Drosophila melanogaster: one gene and its partner. The protein of the gene in region 1 purifies or fractionates together with the protein of each later gene. This does not show direct contact. Each region holds a gene or a part of one and is shown on either strand. Other genes may lie near its edges.

Evidence for each region. The genes of interacting proteins can lie anywhere in the genome.
Region 2: the proteins of mael (region 1) and msps purify together in Drosophila melanogaster (affinity purification with western blotting; one study listed by BioGRID). This does not show direct contact.

What each region holds. Positions count from the first base shown.
Region 1 is NT_037436.4:22,721,304-22,728,089, reverse strand, and holds mael (maelstrom), read right to left. Parts: upstream 3,858-6,786; 5' UTR 3,525-3,857; coding exon 3,405-3,524; intron 3,360-3,404; coding exon 3,161-3,359; intron 3,105-3,160; coding exon 2,548-3,104; intron 2,486-2,547; coding exon 1,973-2,485; 3' UTR 1,856-1,972; downstream 1-1,855. Other genes in the region: CG14450 (uncharacterized protein), read left to right, coding at 374-558, 613-1,546; CG14451 (uncharacterized protein), read left to right, coding at 6,049-6,786. UniProt on the Drosophila melanogaster protein: Involved both in the piRNA and miRNA metabolic processes. As a component of the meiotic nuage, plays a central role during oogenesis by repressing transposable elements and preventing their mobilization, which is essential for the germline integrity.
Region 2 is NT_033777.3:16,048,344-16,055,713, reverse strand, and holds the start of msps (mini spindles), read right to left. Parts: upstream 4,914-7,370; 5' UTR 4,538-4,913; intron 3,837-4,537; exon of another isoform or gene 3,798-3,836; intron 3,640-3,797; 5' UTR 3,570-3,639; coding exon 2,881-3,569; intron 2,826-2,880; coding exon 2,755-2,825; intron 2,691-2,754; coding exon 2,371-2,690; intron 2,312-2,370; coding exon 1-2,311. Other genes in the region: CG5013 (uncharacterized protein), read right to left, coding at 5,132-5,746, 5,798-5,926; IKKbeta (I-kappaB kinase beta), read left to right, coding at 6,394-6,493, 6,903-7,370. UniProt on the Drosophila melanogaster protein: Binds to the plus end of microtubules and regulates microtubule dynamics and microtubule organization. Function in neurons is essential for adult survival, and is important for climbing behavior and activity.

The DNA of each region.
Region 1 (6,786 bases):
GAGAATGTGAGAGGACAGAGAGCGTGCAGTGCTGCGATTTTAGCATTTTTCTTTAGCCATACTATACGGACTGCTCCAGTTTCTTCTTCTTTAAAAATTAATTAATAATGTGATTTATATTATATTTATAAATTATTTCCTTTGTAGTTTTACCTAAAATGTATAATGATTGCTGTGTGAAATACATGCCTTTTCTCTCATCTTTTTCACTTAACAATTAGTTGCTATAAATTGTTTGTAGCCGTCGATGGTGTAGCATTGTATATCGATTAATTAGAAAAACTGAAAAAATGAGCTTGGTCCCACTAACCGAACAGCTGTATAGACGATATCAAATTAAGTAACAACAAATATAAATCATATACTGGAAAATATGTTGTGCCGGCGATCATTGTTGGGCGTAACGACAAAATGCCTAAGACTTTCGTCCACGCAGCAACACAGATCGGGTCAGCCGGAATGTGACCAAGCCATCGGCCTCTTGCCCGCCTACTCGGATGCAGATCGTTTGAAGATCTTGAAGACGATTAATGAAAGCAGCATGAATCAGATAGCCAAGTAGGTAGCCACTCCTGCACTTTGCCTTGCACAAATACTGATTATCCCGCCCAGCTACGACATAACCAAGGCAAGGGCAACCAAGCTGCAAAACTGGAAGAACCGTCACGGACCGCTGCAGGAACTCAGCGACATCCTGTATGTGGAGGGATTCGGACTGAAGGTGACCACCAAGTTCTTTAAGAGTCTGCTTGCGCCGCCGAGCAGTGGGAGCGCACAAGTAGGGGAAAATAGACCAAAGACTGCACGAGTCGCGCCCTTTATAACACCGGCCATGGACGAGGGACAGCGTTCACGTATTGTATCTGCTGTAGGGGTGCGCATCGGAGTGACCAGTGTAAGCTGGGCGCGATTAAAGATCGGAAGCAACGAAGCTCCCTGTCTGCTCACGCACTGGCAGCACCATGAGCTGAACGACAAGAAGCTGCATTTGTCAGAACTTTCCCGCCGATGCCTCTATGTATCTCACCAGATACCCGTGGCCGATTGCTACGTCATGGAGAGTCCACAAATGGCCCAGGCCAGCAGCAACCCAGGGAGCATCGATCAACAGAACGTGAACATCCAGAAGGCCCAGGTTTCCGCAATCATGAGCTTCTCCTTGATGGCCCGATCAGATGGCGACGAGAACAAGACGAACAACGTCTACTACATGCGACGTTTTCTCTCAGCCCGACTATTTAATCACATGGTGGGTACTGAGCGCGTGTCGTCCGAGGATACGATATTGGCCATGATGCGAACCCATTACAACGTGGAACATCAGATCCCCGAAACAGAGCCCCCGTTGAAGCTGCACAAACAGATCGACTTTCCCGCTGACCTACGCCTCGAATTCTCACAACAAGAGCGCTACCAGCGCGAGCTTCTAGGCCAGGCACTTCTCCTCAGCTTAGCCTTTACTCGTCTCGTGCTTCAGCAAGATCCGCAAAGCATTGCATCTGTATCTCGCAACTCTAAAAACTCCTCTCCAAGTCGAGCCACTTAAAAAGCTACAAGTGTAAGAATATGAACTCGACTCTTTTTGGCCTTTGCACTTTGTATTATAATGACCCGTTGAACAATTTTATGCACAATATTTAACAGGGGTTTTAATAGGAGCAGTTTCTAATGGCACAACTGCATTTCCATGGAATACCATAAACATAGATTATTTTGAGCTTGGCCCCACTTAGCTAATTAGAATTTGTCGCCATCAAAAATATCATGTCTTTCTTTCATTACTGCCCACATATTAGGTCTTAAAAATATTTATTTAGCAGAACTAAAATAAATAAATACTTGATGCTGGCCCTGTCCGTTTGAACGAATTTATTTTTAAATACAAGTAATAGTATTTGTACAGTTTAATGCGATAAGAAAATTATCTATAAGGAATCATTGTTTCTTAGTCCAATTGATAGACCAAAGTGGCTTATTTTTTAAGTTTCCCATCAGCGCCGTTTACGGAGAAGTCGTTGTCTGAAACCTTCCGAATTAAACGCGAGTGCGTCGGTAAGTTCCTAGCGTTCCATTCCCGCTGAGCACTAGCGGCGATACCGTGATGCTTACTAGAATTACGCATGCCGAGGCTGGGGAATTCAGAAACTTCGTTTAAATTTGCGGCAAAGGAAGTGTGGTCTATGGGCTTGTAGGAGCTTGATGCGACGGAAAGTCGACTGCTAGAAAGCGAACAAGCTTCGGGTTGGCTTTCCTTCTTGACCCCAGATCCGGGAAGCGAATAAAAAGAGTCGAAGGAGGACTCGTGGTCGAGTGAGGAGGCGTACGAGCTTATGATAAGGTAGTTGGGTTTTGTTTGGGCAGGTATGTGCTTTCCGGGTTGGACGGTTATGGCCAGGTCTCCGCACATAAAATCAGTGAAGGTATACGCCCATCTAGTCACCATACTCTGGGTACAGTACTTGGTTCGATCATTATCCTCGTGGTACTGCAAAAGTAATCAGGAAGGAAGTCAACTAGGGGTTATCAGAATTGGGAACAGAATCTTACCTGACACGCAATCCCTGCGGTAAACTCGAAAAAGTCTTTCTTAAAAAAAGCATCCGTCGCGAATTTGTTGATTTTCTCGTCATTCAAATCAGCGACATTCATGACCTCCTTCTTCAATATGAATAGCAAGTACTGGATATCAAACACCTGGATTTTTTCGCCCCCGTCCCTGAAGTCATCATCGCACTCCAAATAGCGGAAGCATGACTTCACCATGGTAATATTTTCGGCGGGTGTAAAGACTACTAGGGTCTTGCCTTTTCCCTGGCATTTGGATAAGTAGTCAACAATGTTGCGGTACAGCTTGGTCATGTTCTTCTCCCCCAGCGCGTTGGGCGGCAGCGGCAGGTCGTGAGTGGTTGAAGAGTGAAGCAGGGCATCGCTACCTTGCCCAAAAATGATCTGACCGGGGTCAATCATGGTGCTGTAGATGGATCGGATTCCCTCCTTCAACGAATATTCGCATGCCGCAAACTCGGCGGGCACATAGACGTCGGTGGTCAAGGCTTTAGTGAAGTAGTTGAAGGCAACGAAGACAAACTTGGCATTCTCCAGATCTGCGGCAGCGATTGGAGTTAGTCGAATCCAAATGTCTTCGAAATGTGTGACTTACCATGGGACATCTTGGCGTTTAGCACGAGGCGCTCGATGGTACGTTTCATGTCCATCAAGCTCTCGGTGGCCTCCCTTTGGGCCTTGTCCACCTGGCCGTGGCCGTTGGAACTTTCCCTTTTGGCGCGTTGCGCCACATTTGCGTCCTTGCCGCCTGAGTTGTACGGACCACGCTGCTGGGTGTTCATTTTCTGAAAAGGCTTCATTTATTACAGGGTAGATCCGCAGCATCGACCAAAACTTACCTCCCATATGGTGCCGCAGTGGGAAACAGCCTGCGCCAGCGTCATGCGTCGGCCCTCGGCGTTCCGGTTTCTCCACTCGTTTACGAACATCATAAACCCACTATGCTTCTTAGGAGCCATCTTTACGGGCGTGGCAAGAAGAAGGTCGGTATTTTTGACGGGTAAGGGTAGGTGTTGAGCGCGTGTGCGAGCGAGGTAGCGACTAAAGGCGGTAACCAATGAACAGCACGAGCAATTTATATGAATGTTGTTTGTATGTACGTCTGACCCTACAGAAATGGTTACTTCGGAATGTCGCGGGTGGCTTCTCTTCTGGCTTCTCTCACGCACGATTGACTTCTCTTCCAATGATCTGGTCTGTGGAATATATCACACAATTCTAATGAAGTGAAGCAGTTGTTTTGTCAGACGTCGATTCCGCTGACACTTCAAATATCTATTATTGACTGTTTTGGCGTTGCTGAGCACTAGTATCATTCCAGAACTATCGATTCTGGAATGGAATAAGAGTTTGTAAATTTATAATTAATTTATATTTATAATATAATAATTTATATTTCATAAAAATGGTTTAATCAAACCTAATAGCATAATCATCTATCGTCATGCTTTGTAATCGTATGAATAAACTGCACTTGCAGTTAAAAGCAGCCTAATTAAAGATAATACTGCTTATTTATAAATCAAATGGTCGACCATCGAAAACTAAAAATTTTTTAAATCGAAATTCTCTTTCGTAAAACTACAGTGTAAACAGTTGAGTCGAAAAATTGTACATATGTATGTATATCCACCCACAAAGTCGATGTGCTTTAGGTCTATGAAAAATTCTTTCTTGGAAATGGTTTGTTTAATGGTAAAGTAATAATATTGTTTGTATGTATGAACGATTTGTCTGAATCGGTAAATTCATGCTGAATATGAAAATGGTTTGGTCATCACACCGTTTTTGGTTAAAATGTTGTTGTTAAAATGATAAGCATAATCATTTAGAAAGAACTTATTATACCCGTTAACCGTAGAGTAAAAGGGTATACTAGATTCGTTGAAATGTACATATGTAAAAGACAGAAGGAAGCGTTTCCGATATACAGTAAAATATATACATATATATAGTAAAATTAGTTGTTATATTTTTTATTTGAGTCGAATAAATGCCCCGTCAGTTGACTAAGGACAACGCTAAGAAATAAAAAATGATCGGAGAAATAGTTTTAACGTTTTAGTTTTTTTAAGAGTAAAAATCAAATGCAAATTGAATTGAGAGAACCCTCATTATTTGAACAATATTTGTATCTCGGGAGAGCCTCGCTCTTGGGTTCTTAAGATAAGGAGAAGGTTCAAAGAGAGCAGTCAAATCGGCTTATGTCAGGTTTTAGGATGTTTACAAGAACGGCTGAGTGCCGCTGCCAAAGAATTCTTTATTAGAAACGGATGCTGCGCAGCTGGGATACATTATGGAAAATCAATTAAGTGCAATACTGTTTTAATTGAAGTGGCCGGTTTGGACCACCCGAATACGTCACTATATGTATATATTCATGATCAGCATCAATAGCCGAGTCGATCTGGCTGTGTCCTTCTGTCCGTATGAACGCCGAGATCTCAGGAACTATTAAAGGTAGAAGGTTAAGATTAAGCATACAGATTTTAGAGACAAAGATGCAGCGCAAGTTTGTTAACCCATTTTGCCAAGCCCACTCTAGCGCTCACAAGCCGCATAAAACTGTCACGATCGCACTTTTAATAAATGTGTTGATATATCATCACATTTTTAATAGTCTAGAATTCGTCCAGTAAAAGTTATACTAGATTCTTTCAAAAGGTACAAGCAATTAAGATTAAGATCTCTTGGGCCGCCTGTCTCTCAGTAAGAAATGTCTAGAATTCAGGAAGTAGAAGGTGGATATAAAGTATTCTGCTCTTAATTTTTGTTTAGGAGCAAGAGGGCGGAGAACTCTACAGCCATCAGCTGTTTTTACGCATCCAGTGACAACCGACAAGTGCATCTGTGCACATTTTACAATAGAAAGGTCGCATATTTTTATTTATTTTATAAATATTAACTTTTAACTATGTATGTTTGTATTATTTTTACAAAATATATTTTTAAATATGTATTTTCTCATTTTGTTAAATTTATGTTTTAAATTACAAAACTAATAATTATAGTTCTAGATAGCAACTTTATTTATAAGTTGAAATATTGATGAAATTAATGTTAATGCTTTAAAAAGTATTGCTCACAGTGCCCTGTTGAAATTTTGCAAAAAAATTGCCAAAAACTCCAAATATGTAGAATATGTATGTAAATTTTCTTGAATGAAAATTTATTTCGGGCCGAAAATCGTCTTCTAGCACAAGTACGCACACATATACAATTTCTCGTTTGTATGGTCAATGTATGGCCGTCACGCATCTTTTTATTCTAATGTATTTGGTCCTACGTCATTAGGAATAGCTTAATTAAAAAATTGATCAATTATGCACTCTAAAATTTAGAATATTGAGGCATTACCAATCAAATGGCTATACCTAAGATATTTCAATTTACCATAAGGGCCTTGCACAAATTTACCCAACACTGTCGATAGCTCGGCGCCATATCAGATAAGTTTTACTATGGAAATAGGAGAGCGTGGAAATGGAGAACAGGAGGTGCACCGTCGTTGCCGTGGGTGACCTTGTGGATGAGCTTGGCTTCTGTTGCGAGTGGTGTGGCAAGGTGTACAAGAGTCTTGTCCGCTACCACAACCACATTGTATGCACCCACAAGTTACCTGTTCCGGATCACCAGTTGGTCAACTGCTTCCACTGTCCACGCAGCGATTGCAGATTCCACAAGCATGGACCCGGAGTACAGAATTTTCGGCAAATTGGAAGGCTCCGCCGCCACTACCAGGAGAAGCACATGACAGGACACCTTACGTGCGAGTACTGCCAGAAGCAGTTTCAACTGAAGTCAGCGCTGGTGGCCCACAGATGTCGGCTGAGGCATCCAGCCATCAGGGATAGTCAGTCCGCCATCACTTTGGGGAGGCATGTGTGCAAAAAAGGCTACACGCATCTGGGCGCCCTACAACGGCGCCTCACCTGCTGCCAGCATGGAACACCAAATACTCCGACGGAGGACCAGAAGGATATAAGGGACACGGTGTGTCTGCAATGCAACAAGGAATATGTTGACACCCATCGCTGTTGTGTACGAACCGAGCGAAGCTTTCAGTCTGACCGTCTCATCTTCAGAAAGTCTAGTCAGGAGACCCACGGTAAATCCAGGTACCTGCAGGCGGAAGACTGGCGCTTTCTGTTTGAAATGGAGCAGCTTGTCCGCGGCATTGACGACGGGCTTGTGCGGGACCCTTTGTTGCTCACGGAACTC
Region 2 (7,370 bases), on another chromosome or scaffold:
TGTCTTGTCCTCCGGCAACCCGGGCTGTAGCACTCTTCTGGATTCCAGGCGCACCACCTGCTCCACCGCCGCGCACTGTTTTTAGCTTCGGCTCCTCAGGTATTGGAGCCTGATGCTTGCCTTTGGGCAGCGGTTTTACCGGAAGATTAGGACGCGCTTTTTCGAGTGCTGCAAGTATATCCTTTTTGGACGCGGGCTTCTGTTTGTCCAGAGCGCGGTTCATTGCATCAAATCCAAGGTGAATCATAATGCCCAACACCGCCTCGTTGGCATTTTTCCGGACATCGGCGTTTCGATCGCAGATGTGAGCATATAAGTGCGGCACCATTGAATGGATATCCTCCTTCGATACTGACTTGGGGGGAAGACCAGGCAGCTTATCTGCCAGCCAAGCCCACAATTCTGTCTTTAGAGCTGGGGATCCTCCTTTCAGGGCATCGGCTATCATTTCGCTCTCAAAAAATTCCTTATAGCCGCCCTTTTCGCCAAAACTATTGATGCAATTGAGGGCAGCGGCTCTTACAAAACTCTTGTTATCACCCAGAGCGTGTAAAAAGCCAGGGAACAAGTTCCGCACGTGATTTCGACAACCAGCCCCCATGGCTGTGGCAAGCTGCTCGCAAATGGCAAGTGTCGTTTGGGCAATCTTAGCATTGGAATCTACCAGACGGTGGGCCAGAGCAGGAGCCAAGTCGCCAATGCTGGGTTTGATTAGCCGCGCCTCTGAAATAATAGCCTGCAGCTTAGTCAGACCCTCGTTGCGAGTTTTCCAGTCCTTGTCGGACATCTCCTTCAGCAATGCCTCCGTAATCTGTGGAGCAATATCAACGCGTGGTAGAAGATCAGCCATATTAATGGGCTCCTCTTCTCCGGCTGCCCCACCATCATCGTCCTCATTGTCTGGGGAATTACCAGCGGTTCCACCGCTGCTACGTTGAACTCCTCTAACAGGCTTGGGTGGTTTTTCGCCCACATTCTTGTCAAACTCTACCTGGATCTGGGACTTTAGTGCAGGCTTCTCGCTGTCGAAGAACATCATTAGAGCTTTGCCCATATACATAGACATGGTGCCTACCATTTGAATGGCGGAAGCACGAACCGTTGGATTCGTGCTCTGCACGCCTTTTCGTACATCTTCAATAAGTGTCTTTGGCTGCAATTGGAAGCCGAATTCTATGATTGACCTGTTAACCCAGTTAAAGGCCTCTGATTGCACTTTAGGCGATTTTTGTTCAAAAGCAAAGCTCAATACTTTGCCCACAACATACTCCAGTTTAGTGGCTTCGGCAAAGGCAGACAAAACATCTGCAGCTGCTGCACCATTCTTGGCGTCTGCTAGCTTCTCGATTATTTCGTTAATCACCAGATCAACGGTTGTCGTGGTCAGTGGATAGTTTTCAGCCACACTGCGGATTATGTCTAGCTTAAACTTGAGTACCTGGAAATTCATTTCTTTGAGGCCTGGCTTTCGTCCACTGATTGTTCGGATCAGGATCTGTGATATGCCAGCCTGTTTTGCATCAAAACCGCTTATTTCGCCCAGAAGCTGTTCCACAGCAGCAAGGCGGTTCTTCCAGTTGGAATCCACCAGCCCATTAAGAATTTCGGCTGGCAGAATTTCTTCGGATTTTTCTTGCAATTCCTCGGGGGTTATTTCGCGTTCCGTGGCTAGGGGTTTTCCACCCGCTTTAAGAGCTGCAGTTGGGGCAGATGTAGCTCCTCCTCCACTAACCGTCGCCGGTTTTTTCAAGACCTTACGTGCCCCTGTAGTGGCCGGTCGGGTTACTGGCTTAGGGTCCACACTACCAGCCACTGTCTTAGCCGGAGCAGCAGCTTTCGCAGTCGGTGCAGATGCAGGTCGTGTCTCCTTCTTTGGACCTGCAACCTTTATTTTAATCTCCGCCTTTTCTTGGCACTCCTTTATCTTGGCCATTTTGAGTGGATCGACGTCGGCGAGCAAAGGAGTCACCGCTTTGTCTCCCATTAGCTTTATTAAAGTACCAAGAGCTTCGGCGCTGCTGTCGCGTACGGTTGGATCTGGTTCGTTAAGCGTTTTCACTAGACTGGTGGTCAGAAGTTTAAGCAGCTTTTTGTTTAGCGCGGTTGGTTGGGTGCGGGTTAGGGCACGGGCAATAAACAAGGCCGTTTCGGACTTAACACTTGGATTTTTGTTGGACAGGGACTCTACAATGGACTCTTGCTGGGCCTCTAGAGAAGTGGAGGCGTATATGGCATCAATAGCTTCACGCAGCGCTGTCACAACATTAGGTTTCTTCTCTTTAAATTTTTCCAACAGGGATGGGACACAAGCCTGAAATAGAAGAACACATATGAAAACACGTTATTTGGAAGAAGGTGAGAGTTACTTACGGATGCGTAATTTGAGAATCGCTTTGCCAATCCTTTGGCTAGCAAGGCTAGACATTTTCCGGCCATTGCAACGAGGACTACGTTGGAGTCCTTGGTTATAACCTTTTTAAGAGCGCTTACCAGCGCTCCATACTCGCCATTCTCTAGCTTGGGGTGGTCAGTGAGCAGTTTCTCCAGGACTTCCAACGATTCTTTGCGCAGAGTCCATTTCTTTTCCTCCAGCTTATCGTAGAAGTCCTTGGGCATTTTGGAGAGAATGTCAACGGGGTCTAGAAGATCCATAGGATCGATTTCTTCAACGCCAGCCTCGCCATCATCCTCTGCATACGAAAACCAAAATCAAATCAATAATTCACTGCTTTTGTAATATCGAGGGCTTCATACCATTATATGCATCCTCGGTCGCTGCAGCATCGGCGATCTTCGCTTGCTTTTCCTGCTGGGACTTTAGATATCTAAAAGTAAGAGCGGTTTAGCTAGGCAATGATAGAGAGAAATCCTTGAACACACCTGGAGGGTTCAACGCGTTCACCTTTGAGTTTGTCGAATTCATCCTCCAGCTCCTTTAGCGTTACCTGTGGTAGCGTTGAGATCTGTGCCTTCATTGCAGCTCCGATCCAACGGTAAATCTCAACAGCCAGCTGCTTGCCCTCATCTCGGACCGTCTTGTCTCGGTCAGACATTAGCGGAGCAAGCTTTTTAATTAACGGCTTGACGCCGATCACCTTGTGTCCGAACTCGCGGAGGGCCAGTGTGGTGGCTGCCACGCAGGCAGACACAATCTTAGGGTTCTTGGCCTCCATACCTTTAACCAGCTCTTCGACGACGGCCTCCTGCTTCTCTATCTCCACATACATTAGAGCCACTTGGACGGAGAGCTCCTTGGTTTTGGTCTTTGGCGCCGCAATGCACTTCTGAACGATGCCTGTCATCACGTCGCCTACTGTGCGTCCCGCCAGCCCGCTGTTCTCCACAAAAATGAGGGCCGCTTCTAGACCCTTTTCCTGGGCCAGAGCATTAGAGTCCACTACCATCTTCTTTATGAGCCCTGCAAATTTAGACCATTCCGGCGACTTCTCGTCATCCAGCTCGCGAAAGATCTTTGCGGCCTCCTCGTAACCATCGACGCGGGCTTTCCATAGTTTATGGACACACCGCTCCTCCACCGGCAACTTCTTGTACTCTGTGTCCTCGGCCATTGTGTCGTGTTTCGTACGCTACTCGGGTTCTCCTCAATGGTCTCAGTCGCAAACAGCCTCAAGCAGCATTCTGCGAAACAAAAAGATAAATATGTATAAAAAAGCTACTTTAATCGAATTTTTCTTAAAAGAAAAACTAGCCAAGCTTCCAATGAAGCAGAACTATTCCGGATGTCAGGAGTCATCGAGCTGATGTTTTAAAATTGAGCTTAATAGTCTATGAAATACCGATGGCCAAGGAAGCAGAATCATCCATCCGTTTCGCTCGAGGGGCGGAAAAAAGTAAATGGGTCGGCCATATTTAGATTGTCGTTTTCTAAGTGCAGTTATTTGGCAAACAGAAGCAGAAATAGGAGAGTGTAAATTTGGATTTTCGGAAAAGGTTGGTGGGCTTGTCACCCAGGATGGGTGATATCATGTCGCTGAATAGCGCGTTATTTTTTCAGTCAATTAATCAGGGGCACGGCAAATACCCCCCGCACAACCACTACAAAAGGTGACACACGCACACGAAAGCCTGCGACTGAATCAGGCGTGGATTTTCCATCACTCCCATTTATTATTCATGCATCTGTCTCTTTAATATTGTTTTGATGCGCTCCTACTGTGCTCACGTTTGAGTAGAGCATTTTTCAATTCGGATATGCCCGCGCTTTGTTTCTTCCTCTCTCTTGATTTCGCTCTTTCAAGCTCTCACGCACACCGACGCTCTCAAGTTCGAATTAACGGATCATACCGCAGGCAACAACAAATGTTTCTCCTGTGGGCTGTGTGTCTGGATTATGCCGTCGTTTACCGTTCCACCCAACCGCCAATGGTTGCAGCGGCTATCAATTTCCAGTGGCTGCAACTTGAGAGCCGCAGATGAAGCACATATCGCCCATTTTAGCGACAAACAAATTGCGACGCCCTGGAACAAAATCGCGATGCATCCGAGTGCATTCCGGTACACGCACTAGCACACTCACCATCAGAATTGTGATCCAAGTACCGCCGTAGAGCGGGGACTGGGCGAGGAGCTGCGGGACTTACAGCTGGCCAGGGACAGCGGCTTGAAAGGGCTGCGCAATGCAATAACTTCGATTTTTCGCAGGCGACGACGTACCAACACTTACACACGGCACAACACAGAAGCACGCACACTTATTCGACAAAGACACACCGACGGGGTCTTTCCGGGATGCCAAGTAATGTAGCAACAATGAACAATAACTTAACTACGTTTCCAGCACTTCGAGCCTCTTTTGTGCAGCGGAATTTACTTGGTTTCGCGGTAGGTAAATAAATAATAATTTTCGCAGTTTTCCAACAGCGTCGTTGCGCCAGTGTGACCGCTACTCACAACTCTAGCATCCCCTAAAACCTAGAATTAGTGTGCTGGGTGGAAAACTTTGATAGGTACGCGCTAAATTTTAAACATATATTTCCAAATATTTGGCCAACATTGATTTCAAGCGATTACCACAGGCAAATATTTATTTGATGTTTGGGAGCATTCCCGTGTAGAACATTAACTAAGAGAGATTTGACATTCAGCATAAAAAAAGCCAATTGTATAATTGTTATGTTGTATTTATTGAGCCATCGCTTTCGATGCGCGTGATCTCCAGAAGATGAATAGTGTGTCCGCCCATAAACTCCAGCAGATCCACTCCCGACTCCTTGCCAATGTCCTCCATGCTGATGGGTAAAGCCTGCAGCTTCCACTTCTTGAGCAGCGCCTCTATGGACCAGTCGGCGCTCCGCTCCTGGTATGTAAATATAAATTTGGCCCCGGCATTTCGCTCCAGCAGAAAAGCAACTGTGACCACGATATCCTCGAACACGCTGGGATCGTAGAAGCAGTCTGCTGCAATGATAAGGTCCAGAGGCGGCAGTCGGAACACGCTGTTCAGCAGCAGGCCCCAACTCAGGCCCACCACATCGATATCAACGCCCGGCTGCAGTTGATTGGCCAGGCAGGACTTTCGGATATGGGCCAGTGACTTGGGCAGAATGCAGTTGTCAGTAAGTACCACTTGGGCGCGGCATTTGGCCGCCAGAATGCCGGGCAGGGCGGTGCCGCTTCCCAGCTCCAGGATGCGCTTGCCCGCCAGTGTCTGTCGGCGCTCCCACAGGAAGTGGGCTAAAATTGGTGCGCAAGGCCATGTGTAGAAGGAGTAGGCACCCTGAAGCAGCTGTAGGCGGACACTTTAGATACTACACGAACACCTGGTTCTAAGGATTACCTCAGGTATTTTGATCTCCAGTCGCTCGGCGGGTGATCCGCTGAAGACAAACTTGCGGATATGCTCGGCAGTGGCTGTGGCCGCCACAATGTCATTGTCCTCGCTGCCGCTCTTCATGTGGAAACGCATCTTAGCTCAAGCATGCAGGAGTATTACTATTTTCACTAAACTAAAGTTATTTTTCAGCGTTTTGTTTACAACCTGTTTGATTAGCGATGTCACTTCGTTGCGATAACTTAATCGATAAAAATTGAGGCGAGTGAAGCAAATAGTGACCGAAGGGTGACTTCAGTAGCAGTTGACATTTTAAGCCACCATTTCTAAGCTTCAATTAAAAACGTTTTTGGGTATCCCAATTCGTCCAGTTTATTTAAAGGTATGCATCCCAATTGAAAGTGGCTGCAGCTGAGCGCTCCTCTAAACAAAATTCTCGTGACCGCGATTGCTGCTGAACGATGACTAGTGTATAAGCAATCGAATATCGCAAATCTTGTATGATCACTGTGGTGTTTTGCTTTTCCGATTGCCATGGAGGGATTCAGATTCTTGGAAGAATGAGCTCCGTAAATAAAATAAAGCTTAACGAAAACAACAAGATGCACTCTTTTGGGAACTGGGAGCGGTGCCGGAATCTGGGAGAGGGCGGATTCGGCCTAGTGATCCATTGGCGAAACCGAACAACGGGCCGTGAAATTGGTGAGCTATAAACACCTTATGGGCTAACACTAATATACATATACATATAAATATTTTAAGGATTTTCTTTTTCGCAAACACACATTACCAGCCCCCAAACACCCTCCCCCTTTCCAGCCTTACTCATAAATAAATAAATTTTTTGTTGTATTTTGTATATATCCAAATAATAAAACCATAAAAACAACATACATATACATATGAACATGTTTGTTGTCCAACAATTCCCAGAAACCGAGCTGAGGCATGCGTTTCCGGGTGGTCCACTGATAGTGATAGAGGGCTCGAGTTTTGCGCGTTTGGTGTGGTCTCCGCATTAGATATGTCGCTTATAGCCTTTCGGCTGAGTTAGCCGATATGGCAGATATTTTAAGCGTCAGTCTTAAGTGTTTATTTATTTTCCACATAGCCACCAAGCACATAAAGGAGATGGGGGCCCTGAGTGCCGATCAGCAAGTCAAGCTCAGCGAGCGTTGGAACAAGGAGCTGAACTGGTCTCGTCAGTTTAAAAACTTTCCCCATATTGTGGCTGGCGTGGACATCGAGGATCCGGACTTTTTGGAGTACCTGAATGGCATGTTTAGTGCCAAGTTGCCTGTTATTGTGCTGGAATACTGTAACGGTGGAGACGTGAGGAAGCGTCTGCAGAGCCCGGAGAATGCTAATGGTCTGACGGAGTTCGAGGTGCGGCAGATACTGGGAGCCCTACGTAAGGCCCTACATTTTCTGCACTCGCAGTGTGGGATTTGCCACCGCGATTTGAAGCCGGACAATATAGTAATCCAACGTGGAGTTGATGGCAAAAAAATCTATAAGCTAACCGATTTTGGACTCGCCCGAGGAACTCCCGACCAGACCATGGTGCAGAGCGTGGTGG